Oryzias latipes: one gene and its partners. The protein of the gene in region 2 interacts with the protein of the main gene of each other region in a pairwise test. Links are inferred from orthologs where the notes say so. Each region holds a gene or a part of one and is shown on either strand. Other genes may lie near its edges. The genes, in order: psmb4, smad1 and lemd3.

Evidence for each region.
Region 1: the proteins of smad1 (region 2) and psmb4 interact in binary tests that used the Homo sapiens proteins (3 or more experiments, as listed by UniProt). The link is inferred for Oryzias latipes from reciprocal best matches to the Homo sapiens genes SMAD1 and PSMB4.
Region 3: the proteins of smad1 (region 2) and lemd3 interact in binary tests that used the Homo sapiens proteins (3 or more experiments, as listed by UniProt). The link is inferred for Oryzias latipes from reciprocal best matches to the Homo sapiens genes SMAD1 and LEMD3.

What each region holds. Positions count from the first base shown.
Region 1 is NC_019869.2:4,417,651-4,421,946, reverse strand, and holds psmb4 (proteasome subunit beta type-4), read left to right. Parts: upstream 1-1,496; 5' UTR 1,497-1,537; coding exon 1,538-1,662; intron 1,663-2,364; coding exon 2,365-2,491; intron 2,492-2,564; coding exon 2,565-2,644; intron 2,645-2,730; coding exon 2,731-2,877; intron 2,878-3,004; coding exon 3,005-3,086; intron 3,087-3,275; coding exon 3,276-3,392; exon of another isoform or gene 3,393-3,568; coding exon 3,569-3,657; intron 3,658-3,765; coding exon 3,766-3,778; 3' UTR 3,779-3,898; downstream 3,899-4,296. UniProt on the Homo sapiens protein: Non-catalytic component of the 20S core proteasome complex involved in the proteolytic degradation of most intracellular proteins. This complex plays numerous essential roles within the cell by associating with different regulatory particles.
Region 2 is NC_019859.2:18,353,864-18,358,007, reverse strand, and holds the start of smad1 (mothers against decapentaplegic homolog 1), read right to left. Parts: upstream 2,809-4,144; 5' UTR 2,680-2,808; intron 1-2,679. UniProt on the Homo sapiens protein: Transcriptional modulator that plays a role in various cellular processes, including embryonic development, cell differentiation, and tissue homeostasis.
Region 3 is NC_019881.2:11,305,996-11,310,060, reverse strand, and holds the start of lemd3 (inner nuclear membrane protein Man1), read right to left. Parts: upstream 2,806-4,065; 5' UTR 2,766-2,805; coding exon 1,559-2,765; intron 1-1,558.

The DNA of each region.
Region 1 (4,296 bases), on a different chromosome or scaffold from region 2:
AGAAGAGTAACACCAAGCAATAACAGGGAAAAACAGACTTACAGCAGCTCTGCTCGCTCAGCCCGTCGACTGTCAGGTGAGGACAGACAGGTGAGACGGGTTAGATTGTTTTTAGCTCAAACAGCCCAGACCTTGGAGGAACCTGCTGCGATCCTGATGACTCAGCTGTTGGAGTTGGACTCATCTTTTTATGAGTTTACGAGCGGACTCTGGTGCCCACGCTCCCTCGCGCCGCCTGTCTTGCTGCCTTCCGTCTCTCGCTCTTCCCCTCTGTACCTTTAACCACCTGGACCGCAGAGGTGTGGTGCGTTGCAGCAACAGGGCCCCACCTGGTTGCCATGACAACCGTGACTGTGCAGGCAGGTGTGCCAGGCTGGAAGGAGCAGAGCGCATGTTGCTGCCTGCTGAGTGTCTCCCCGCAGGAAATCACTGGTTCAATTACTGAGAGATGTTTTTTTTAAAACAGCCATGCACCTTTTAAGAGCACATTCAAGTCAAACATCGATAATCTACTTAGTTGCACATATTTCTGGTGAAAGAATGCGTGTTTTTAATGCAAACTAGGAGTAGTGGCACACAAAAAACATGAAAATACAAGAAATAACATTTGTGAAGTGATTTAAATCAGAAGATGTAATCACAATTGGACGCTAAATCAGTTATATCATTGTTCAAGCATTGATGGAAAATCTATTTACAGTCTAAATAGGGTAAACAGGGGACCGTACATCTGTGTGTCATAGTGGTAACCTGTGGAGCTGCAGCTGAGGGTCTGAGAGTCATCCAGTCTTTCACTGCATTTTTTCTACATTTTTAGCTTGTACCTCAGTCATGATCTTCTTATTCAATTCATCCGTTTTTCAGTCAAATCAGAAAGTCGGTACTGCAATGCTGACTGAGTGGAGGAGTTAGACCATTTTAAATGGGGTCGGCGGAAATGAGAGCATGTCAATCTAATTTAATTTACAAAGAAGTCTATTGAGAGCATACAAATTCTCTTTTTATAGTCAAAACTATATATATATATATATATATATATATATATATATATATATATATATATATATATATATATATATATATATATATTTAAATTATGTTGTAATAATATTTTAGTTAAATGAAATGTTTTATAATTTTTATTATTATTATGCTATTGGTTGTTGTTGCTATTGTTGTTGTTATTACTATTATTATTTCTGAATTTGTTTCCTTTTAATTCAACTGTTTTTATAAGCGTTTGAAGCAAGATTAATCTCAAATAATTTTTGTTACAGTCTTGATAAAAAAAATTGCATTGTGCTTTCTAAAAAAATTTATAAATTTAAAATGAAATCAAAACAACAAAGGAATAATTATAAAAAAAATCGCGACTTACAAAAGAAAAAGTAAAATAAAAAAACAATCAAATGGTTAGTTTATTTTGTGCAGCTTTTTCATCTTCCGGACAGCAGGGAGCAGTAGAGTTCAATTTGACGTCACGTAACGCTTATTACAACGAAACGAAAAATCTGACGTCATTTCCTGCAGAGTCAACATGGAGTCTCACGGTTTGAAGATGAATTTCTGGGAGAACGGACCAAAACCGGGACAATTTTATTCTTTTCCCGGCAGTAGCAGCAGCGGACCGGGCACATCATGCGGACCGGTCAGACACACGCTGTGAGTTCGCCACAGTGACTACCAGAACCGCTACAGTTACTTAAATCAAAACATCTTTCCGGGTTTCGATATTTGAGCTTCGTTGCTGTATCATCATGGCTGCTAAATCATGTTGCTGTGCTTATTGTCTGTTTAAATCGAGTTTAACTTTATTATACGAAGTAAAATAATACAATATGCTGTTGAACATACATTTAAACTCGGCTTAATCTCTACAATTTAGTAAATTTAATTTTAACTCGAGGAATTTAGCTAATTGTTAGCCGTCATCGTAATAGCCAACTTTTTTGTGTGTTTGTTGGACCTCAATGCATCGGGGGGTTTAAATACCTCATTTGTAGATTTATTCACCGGTTTACATCACATTTTGTGAATATTTTCCATAAAAATATAGACAAATGTTTTTTTATTTAGAGACGGCAATTATTTTAGCGTTTTTGTTTGATAAAATAATTATTAATATTCCAATGTAGACACATTTGATTTAAAATATTGCTTTTACAATAAATGTGTATTTTACTACAGTCTGCTTTTCAATCAGATTATGGATTACTGGTATATTTGAATTTCTTTCTTGTGTTTGTAAACAGGAAGCTTCTTTTTACATTCGTTTTTCAGTTTGGTATCCATGCAGATGATAGATTCTCTGTATTTAGATGCAGTTTTTTTGTTGTTGCTAATCGTACATCTTCCCCTCCGCAGCAACCCGATGGTAACCGGGACATCAGTTCTTGGAGTGAAGTTTGCAGGCGGGGTCATCATCGCCGCCGACATGTTAGGCTCCTATGGCTCTCTGGCTCGATTCAGAAACATCTCTCGACTCATGAAGGTAAGCGTTACTGTTGAAAACATGTCTAAATGAGTAAAAAAAAAAACATGGCTGATTACAGTTTGTGTTGCAGGTGAATGATAACACCATATTGGGGGCATCAGGAGACTACGCAGACTATCAGTATCTCAAACAGGTCATCGAGCAGATGGTGTAAGCTGCTGATAGACACACTAAAGCAGTTCAGTCTGTTGTATGTGGATCATGCGTGTCTCTAAAGGTCGTAATTTACATCCCAGGATTGATGAGGAACTGCTTGGTGATGGCCACAGCTACAGTCCAAAAGCTATCCACTCCTGGCTGACCAGAGTGATGTACAACCGACGCAGCAAGATGAATCCTCTGTGGAACACGGTTGTCCTCGGGGGTTTCTACAATGGAGAAAGGTGAGTCAAAAAGACGAGTTAAGGTTTTTTAAGCTAGATTGTCAGTAAAGTAGTGTAGGTTAAGTTTTAGTCTAATAAACGACAATCACTAATCAATACATTTAATACGGAAATTTTATGTCTTTAGTTTCCTGGGCTATGTGGACAAGCTTGGCGTGGCTTATGAAGCTCCAACAGTGGCTACTGGTTTTGGAGCTTACCTTGCTCAGGTATGTTTCAAAGTCAGATTTGGATGTTAGTGAGGATTTGTTATTGTTTTGACTTTGTTGTCAAATTTAAAATGTCAGGTTTCCATTAATTAAATGATGAGCGACACAACAATCTTGTTTTTTCTTTGTCCAACTGACTAACTTTGCGGAAGGATTAGACTTAAGTAAAAAAGAAAATTTGTGTTGCAGCCTCTTATGAGAGAAGTGGTTGAAAACAAGGCTGACATCACCAAGCAGGAGGCGCGAGACCTGATAGAGCGCTGCCTTAAAGTGCTGTACTACAGAGACGCTCGGTCCTACAACAGGGTAAGTGCATCTGTCGTCGATCTGTTGGGAGGCGCAGACATTTACTTAGATGTAACTGGATTTAAAGGAGTAGCTCAAAGTGAGAATTTTTTTACCAAAAGTGCAAAACGCTCTGACTTTTTAAATAAATATTGTGGATTATTAGGTTGAAATTGATATTGTGTTTTGTCTTTCAGCATGAGATTGCCATTGTAACTGAACAGGGAGTGGAAATAATCGGCCCTTTGTCTTCTGAAACCAATTGGGACATTGCTCACCTGATCAGGTAGGCTCCAGACATTTTCTGTGGGTATAAGTCTGAAACTTTCTTGTAAAACAGTGTAAATTTGACCTCCCTGGATTAATTTCTGTTTTTCATTTTGTGTCTCTGCAGCGGATTCGAATGAACTACAAGCATGTTTCATTTTTTTCATCAAAACCATAAACAACCTGCAGTTTATCGAGTTTAGTTTCTTTTTGTTGGGTCACTTTGTATAATGAAAAATAAAAATGTTAAAACTGAAAAACCTGCTTGGTTGGTTTTATTTTAAACAAAGAAATAGACAAAAACATTTAAAGTTATTTTAATTTCACTATATTTGATAGCTCCTTTTAGGGGTCGCCATAGTGAATCATCTGCCTTCATGCAATCCTCTGCTTCCTCCTTATTCTCTCAATCCACTATCAAGCTTTTTTTTTACAATGATAGATTGCAGGGGTGGGGTTTTTAGGAGGTATTGTCCATATTTGTCCATGCTGATATAACTGCATTGAAAAAAAGATTTTAGGATTCAATAATATGTGAACTTGACTCTATCCATTATTTAAAAGTATTTTTGGAATACATGGAGTATACTTAGAACCTGTTTTTTCATCAGCTTTTTACCATTTATGAATGATAATTTAAATATGTCATTTTCATTTT
Region 2 (4,144 bases):
GCAAAAAAAAATGCCTAGCAATATTGGAGCGATCCAACAGGAGAGTTTTGAGTCAGATGTCAACTCGGACAAGGAAAACAAAGACTAACATGGATCAATGCATCTACAAGTGGATCTATGGGAATAGAGCGGAGCAGGGGGGTTGTGGTCTGCCGGCTGCAGCAGCACCTACATCACTGCTACAGACTTTTTCCAACTGCTCTTGATTTACAACCATTTAAATGAAGAAATACTCAAAAAAGAAATTTTGAGCACTTTTCTTTTTTTTTACATGTCCTCCATCATGAGAAAAATACTATAAGAACATGTTAAAAACACCAAAAATATTTTCATTGGACCAGGTCTTTATATAGATTTTGAACAATAAAGGCTTGATCTGTTAAAAAAAAGCATCCTGTTTATTTTCAAATCTTTAATTCTTATGTATAAAGAGATTATTTTGGACAAAATAAAGATGACATCCACAATTATTTAAAATCTGTTAGGGTCCACAGTGAGCAATGAATGCAGATTTCTGCCAAAGTTATTTTACCCAGCAGTCTATGTATAAGTAAAGCTTAAAAATAACCACAGACACACACAAGATGCCTTCTGACTAGACATAGTCATTGACCAGAGTGTCCTTTGAGTCACCGGGCCACGGTCCCCCACAAACACGAATCTGTGCAATGCTCAGATTCGGCAAGGATTGCACGATAAGTTAGAGATGAAGCTCTGAATGGGAACAGCCTCTGCAAACGGCCTGGAATCACATTTGTCCTGACTACAAAGCTACAGCCGTATTTTTACATTCCAGATACATCAGTCAACACGCAACCGGACAGCAGACATAAATAGCAATCGCATGGGTTTGTAGGCAGCCATCTCAAACATGCTTGGCACTCAAGAGTCGGGTTTGTGTTGTGTTAGGGTGGACACTTCCCCCTATCACTATGAGGCCACAGTGCTCAGATCACACAAACACACAAGAAAAGTGTAACAAATTAATCCTATATATTCATACTTTAGTACATTACACTATAGTCAGAAATATTTCATTTGCAAAATGAATCTGTCAGTGTAGTTTAGCTCAGTTTTCTGATTGTAGTCACCCTAAGAAATGCCACAGCTGAAAGACAGACAACAATAACACTGGGAACTCTACATGCTAAAGCTAAATTTCTTTACGAACATGTGTACAAAAAAACCCACAGACAATAAGCTAAATAAATACATTACATTTATTTTTCTTATCAGTCCTAAAAGACTGAAAAGAAAAGGGAAGAACACACAATTTCTCAAGCATAACTCATCATTGCATACCCCGAGAATGCAAAACAACAACAGGGTATAGGCTGTAGCACGAACAAGGGCAAAATCCCGTCCTTTGAGTAATCTGATATGTCATCTTCAATAATGTCAGGAGATCTGGGCTGAGCTGCTGCAAGACTCTCACTCTGTGTTTTCCCTTGTTTACCTTCCATGGACACAACTGCAGAAAAACTCTAGTACACTACTGTGCAAATGCAAGGAAAAGTACTTCTTAAAATTCAGCGAAAGGTAGTTATCATTAATCAAACAACAGTAGCAAGTAGTATTCCTGCAATGTACTCATTTTAAGAGTATTGCTGTACTGTTTGACATTAAAATAGAATGGAAAATTGTTCATGATTAAATTATGATTACTCATTAACAGCAGTGTAATAAATCAAATAACACTTCATCAAGACATGTCAGAATGTTGCATAACGAAGTAAAATCAATAACTTTTCTACAATTTTTGGTGTTTTTGTAGACAAAAAGAAAGCACAGATAAATGTCACTTGATCTTTATACAATGTCTATTACATATCCTCAATCATTTTTGTGTGCATTCTAGTATCATGACTTGTTTCAGTCTACAAAGCCTAAAAAAACTAAAAAAAATTAAAATATTTATGTTCTTCATTTCTTCAAAGCCATTAAATACTTCATTTACAAAATATATTAAACACTCAAGTTGGAGACTCCATGATTAGCTTGTATCTTTGTCGATCATCTTTAAGTGGAGTTTCATAATGAGGATGATTTAATTTCTACAACAACAAAAGTTGATGATGTAGATCTGCCTTGTTGGTTTATTATTTGCTGAGTGTATTTAGTTTATGCACATATAAACTGAGTTTACATGATCAAAGTAATTAGTCATTTTTCAAAATGATCACTTTTGGCCTTATAATTCAGTATTCTGACATTAAACAAAGAAATAACGTGGCTGAAATGGGATACAACTATATAGCATTACATCACCTAATATTGCTTTTTTTCATGTGAAAAGAAAGTATTTTTGAAATTGAACCAAAATGAAGCCTAAATTCTGTCATTTAAAGAGATTTGAAAACAACAGCATTTGCAGCTCCCCCCCCCCCCCACACACACACACATTCTAAATCTGTACTTCATAAGAGTTTTCTAGAAAGCAACGATGCTGAGCTCTCATCATCATCACTTCATGATTTCCACACAGAAGAAAAAAACAACATAAGTCTCCCGTCAGAGACTTTGAATTAAAGGGGGGAAAGTTTGAAGCTTCCAACTGACAGACTACTGCTAACCTGCTAACCTTCTCCTTCCTCTCGGTAAAGTGGTGCGCAGTATAAACAAGATATGCTAGAATTAGTTTTATTTATAAAATTTAAAGGAATAAAAATATCTCCGTACCTTTTTTTGTGTGTAGTTTACGCTTTCTGGGAATCACCGGGCCCCTCCTGAGCGCTCTCGCTGCCTGAGTTGGGTCTTATCGACCTGGCGTCACAGAGTCGCCGAGCCGCCTCACACTCCCCCTGTGCGCCAGTATTACGCCGCGGGACACAGACCCCAACACAGAGCAGACCTACTACATCTTCATAAGTGGATTATGTAATTGTAAAACAGTTAGAGCTTCTCGCAAATTGTCAACAATTTCTTACAAGGAAAGGGTTTCCATTCTGTTCCTATACTACATAACAGTTCTGTGTTTTTTTTTAACTTCAAAGCATAAAAACTCCTCCCATAACTTCTCTGTAAATCCATATTATTTGGACTGTGCATTTTGTTGGCGTACACACCTTTTAAATGAGAGTTAAAAAGTGTAAATTGCTAAGAGAATTGAGCAAGCCTGCTTGGTTTTTTTCTGTTTTTTTCTGCAATCCTGACAGGCAGTTTGTCTGATCCTGAACTTCTGAACTGCATTTAGGCATTTTGTTTCCCTCAAGCTGTGATTGTGACATGATAAGCAATTGCCTGATAGAGGAAAAAAGTAAATAGACGTCATAGAAACATGACCACACGTGCCACGAAACAAAGAATACAAGCGTGAAATGAAATAAATATATTGTATCTTAATTGGAATAAATGCTAATAGTGTATCATAGATATTAAATATATGAAAGGAAGTGTATATACAGAGTAAAGCTAAAATTCTCCACTTTGCCTGTGTATTGCGATAAAAAAAACAACATACAAGTGTTTTGTAATAATGTGATATTTTTCAAACGAAAGAAAAAAAACGTCACATTTTTAAAATAGTTTTTCTAAGATTTGGCGTTTCCGCCGCGAGAGGGACTAGATTATCTTGAAGACAGGCGGAGGCAAACGCTCTCGACGCAGAAAGCTTCTGGCACACGTGACGTCACGGCGCTGGCGACAGAATGTCTGAGTGAGGCGGGCGCGAGCAGCACGTGAATAAATGTGGGGGGAAGAAGGGAACGGGGTGGAGGGGTGGAGGCTCGCTGATGAGGATGATGATGATGATCGTTATAATAGGGATCATGATGGCGGGGGCAGGGGGAAGGCTCTTCAAACTTGAAGCAAAAAGGATTCCCTTCAGACAGACACACTCGGGCGCGCGCACACATCCACTATCATCCTCTTATTTTACCTTCCTAGATGCACAACTTTATTATCACAGACAAAAGTTTATATGCCAAAAATAAAAACTACAGTTAAAAAAGCATGTGTCTAGAGCTATAGCTATTAAAAGCATAGTCACTGAATTGGCATGATAAATTCAGATTAGTTGACAAAGTACATCCCAAAACGTTTTCCTTCTGTAATATAAAACTCACTTAAAAACTACTTTATTTATTGACTTACAAAAACGTCTTGATACAATTGTTATCCTAACAAAGCAGAAATCTTTAATAGT
Region 3 (4,065 bases), on a different chromosome or scaffold from region 2:
TGTGCTGCCTCTAAAAGGCTTGAGAGCTTCAGTTATTACCCAAATGATCATTATGGATATCAACAGCTGACTTCTTCATTAAGATATTCGGATTTTCTTGTTTGTTTTTTTCAGGAGTCCTGGAGAGTCTGGTGAGGCCAGTGCTGTTTTTGTTTTAACAATTTTAAATAACAGATATCAACTTGTTTCTCAATAAATTTTTTATTTATTTATAATAATACAGTTTTTGAGTGACTTCTTCCCCTGGCATCGCAAACAGGAAGTACCTGCTGGCTCCAAGAAGCCAAAATCCCATAGACATCTATAGAGAAATGAGCAGCTGTTAATCATTCTATTGGTCAGAAAAAAACATATTTTCTTTATCGTAAGTTATTTAGGTTTTAAACTGACCATTAGAAGTATGTGGTGTCCACTGGCCCCCACCTGACATGTTCGAAATGTTTGACAGATTATCCTGAGCCCATGTTCAGCGGAATGGGTGTGGCCTACAAACAAGCTCACTGCTGACTGGTAAGACTGGTTGCCATAGAAACGTCGACTCAGACCAATTGGGACCAATCACTGCTTTTGTTGTCAGTGTGGCGGAAAAATCACGACCTCATTTCGCCGGAGCCGGAAGTAAGGCATTTTCTATGGGCGACGTTACACTCGCTCAGTCCAGTGGTCACAACACCTCTGATCAGCTGACAGGTATGTCCAGCTGGCTACACCTATCACAACCAGCTAATAGTGATGTGTCATGACAGGAGCGCCACAGATTAGATTGGAAAATATGCTTTTCTTTCTTTTTACAGATGTTTGTCAGATGGCATTCGAGATTCCATCTTAAGGGTGTATATATCATGCTTTTCTTAAGCCTTTCAGAGTCAACTAGATCCATTTATATGATAATAAATATTACCTTTGATACACTGAAGGACTTTTTTTTGGGAAAACAAGTTATTTTTACAGCTCATTGTCCAACTTGATCTGAGGCTCCTCCTTCCGCTCCTTTCATGACGTCAACCTAGAGTCGCCATCTGCAGTGAGGCAGACTCTAGGTTTCTCCCATGAAAACAAACAACACCCAAACTTTTGCAAAGATGGACATGCATATTGTGCATATTAAACCAGAGCGTTTAGCCGATCACCGCTAGCGCCACTGAGAAAGTTGGTGTGTCTATTAGCCAGGGGGCGGTGCTGGCAGCATCGACTCTTCCTGAAAGGGGCTGGTCCTCACTTTGTGATGTCACGATGTGAGGACCCACTCGCTTTCATGAAGGAGCTGGTGCTCAAGCAGGATTTTAAAGGAAAACCCTAAAAGGCGTGAATGAAACAAAATATTTTAAAGGAAAACCCTAAAAGGCGTGAATGAAAAAATACTGTTTTGGGGTGAAGAATAAAAAATCAAAATACACTTAAAGCTTAAAAAGAGGATTTTTCTTGAATCTCTTGAATGTCTATAGCAATACAATAACGGTAACACTTCTCCATGTTTGATCAAATGCTTGGAACAGTTTAAAGTTCACTTTTGATGCATTAAAAAAACATGTAAAAGTTGATCCAGCTGGATACTTACTAACACTGTCCGCCTCCACGGAGCCCCTCATCCTGAGGTACATGAGGCCGAGCAGCAGGAAGAAGAGGCAGGCTGTGGTGAGCAGGAACATGGACAGATAATGGGCGCTGATGCTGCCGGAGGACGCGGGCTCTTCCCTCCTGAACTGCAGAAGGAGTTCGTCCTCCGGGACAGACAGCTTCTTCTTCGGAGCAGTCGGGCTGTATGCGTGGTTCGGGGGCGGGCTGTGGTTGGAGTGGTTCCCCTTGTGTGTCTGGGCCGGGCTGCTGTAGCCGGAGAAGCGTGGTCTCAGCCCGACGCTGAACCGAGCCCCGCTGTTGCTTCTGGCTGCTCCGTCCTCGCTGTCGAAGTGGTTTTTCCCGGCCTTCGCTCCGCGCTGCTCAGCGAGGGAGACGTAAATGGACTTCCGGGCATACCTCTGCGAGCCCCCAAAAGGGTCGAGCTCCTCTCCGTTCACCTCCTCGTCCTCTGCCCGCACCATCTTCCGAAACCCGGGCGGATTGGGCGAGCTGTTCTTGCCTTTGACCTGCGAGTCTCGGTTGTCTGAGGGAGAGATGGGCGCAGCCGTGCGGCTCCGCCGAGGCTCCGGTAGGTTCCGTTCTCGGTCGCCGGGGCTCAGAACTCCATCTTCGTCCGAATCAGAGTACTCTCCCGCTGTTTTGTTCAAACCAGTCACTTCACGACCATTGACGGAGTGAGGGTTCTCTGGTTCCTCCTCGCCTTCGTCCCCCGACTCGTCGTAATGCCTGGAGCTATGGACGCTCTGATGATGATCCAGCGGACTAGAAAACGAATTCAGGGTCGTTCCGGTGATGTTCTGCTTGTCTGTAGGCCCGGCCAGCTGCTGATGACAAGCGGTGATCCGTCTGTGCTTAGCCAGGCCCTTCCTTTTCAGAGGGGTTTCAGCGTCAGACTCGTCGGAGCTGAAGCCGAGGACAGACGACTTCCGGCCCGGCTTTCTGATCGCGCTCAACTGCGTGACGTCATGTCTACTGGGCCTCGGCGCCGCGATGCTAACCGCTGTGCTAACAGCCGTGCTAGCGCGGCTTTTCAGCACTCTGGATCCCCGCTGCTGCTGCTCCTCACGAAGCTTCTTCAGTTTCTTCAAATAAACCGGTCGGGTGTTTTCCGTGACGGGGCCCGGAGTGAAACCTAAGCGCTTTAACTGCGAAAAAAGCTCCTCGTCCGTTAACTGCGCCGACGCCATCTCGGTTTAAAAGAAAAATAAAAGCGCTTTTCTTGTTCTCTCTCAGGATTTATGGAGAAGCTTCAGTAAAACAGCTACAGAGCGCCCCCTGCCGCACCGTTGTAAAATAACAATACAATTCAGTGTACACTAACTCAAAGAGCACTAACACATGAGAATCTTTCACTACTTTAAAGACTCATTCTGATTAAAAGGGTCTTTCTAACATGTTCTTGTAGCCTTGTTCTGATAACGGAGGTCAAATATTAAGAAGATTAGGCTTACAATTGCATTTCTGAGTGTGTTTTTTTCAAATTCTTGTTAATTAAGTGCAGATTAGAAAAAAATGCAGTTTGAGTTTAAATTTAACACAGAAAATACCCGGGACGCGTCACACGCTCCATGCTCCAGAGCTTTAAGCAACAGGGGGCAGCGTTATTCTTTGCGAAAAGCCCCACCAATAGCTTAGAAGCGAATTTCTGATGAACTCCTTCTGCTCTGCAGAAACTATGTCCTACAAAATGTCACAGTTTTTTTTTTTGTTTTTGCTAAAAACGGCATAATAACTAAAATAACACTTTAAATTACAATCAATAAGCTATTGATTTTGTTTACTTGATCTGCAATGTGTAGCAATAATTACTGGTTTAATGTTATCGTGTGTTCTGATGATAATCAATGATTATTACATATCGGTACCATTACTGTTTACTGAAATCATGAATGAATGTTTTCTGAAGATAATCAAGCATTTTTAGGCACTGGATTTTGTTACTTCACGAGAATCTATCTGATCAGAACCGGATTTAAAACAATGTAAAACTATCAAATTAATTAACTCAGTAGGGGTGCGATTATATAAGCTTGCTTCTTCCCACTCCTTTTCAAGCAATAAATCAAACTCTACTTATACTTTAGTTAATGATCACTGTATTTAATGAAGCAAATGTGATTCAAGTGAGGTTTTTGTTTTGTTTTATTTTCTGTCTTTTTAATCTATGCATTTCATCATTTCTGTAATGAGTTTGATAAATATATAAAATAATATATAAATTCTTTATTGCTTTGACTACAATGCTTGAAATAAATCAATAAAATCAAATCAACACTGGGGATGCTTTGAAAATAGATCTGACGATGATCAGAGTGGGTCTTTAAATCTTTCTTTTTGGCTCTTTGTTGAGGTGAGGCACCAGAATGTCTGCTTGGCCCTCTGTTTTCCCACAGCCTCCCTCTCTTTTCTGACTGATCTACAGCGGCGAACGCCCCGCAAAACCACAGAACTGCTGACAGGCTCTCAACTGACGGTCATTCAACACAA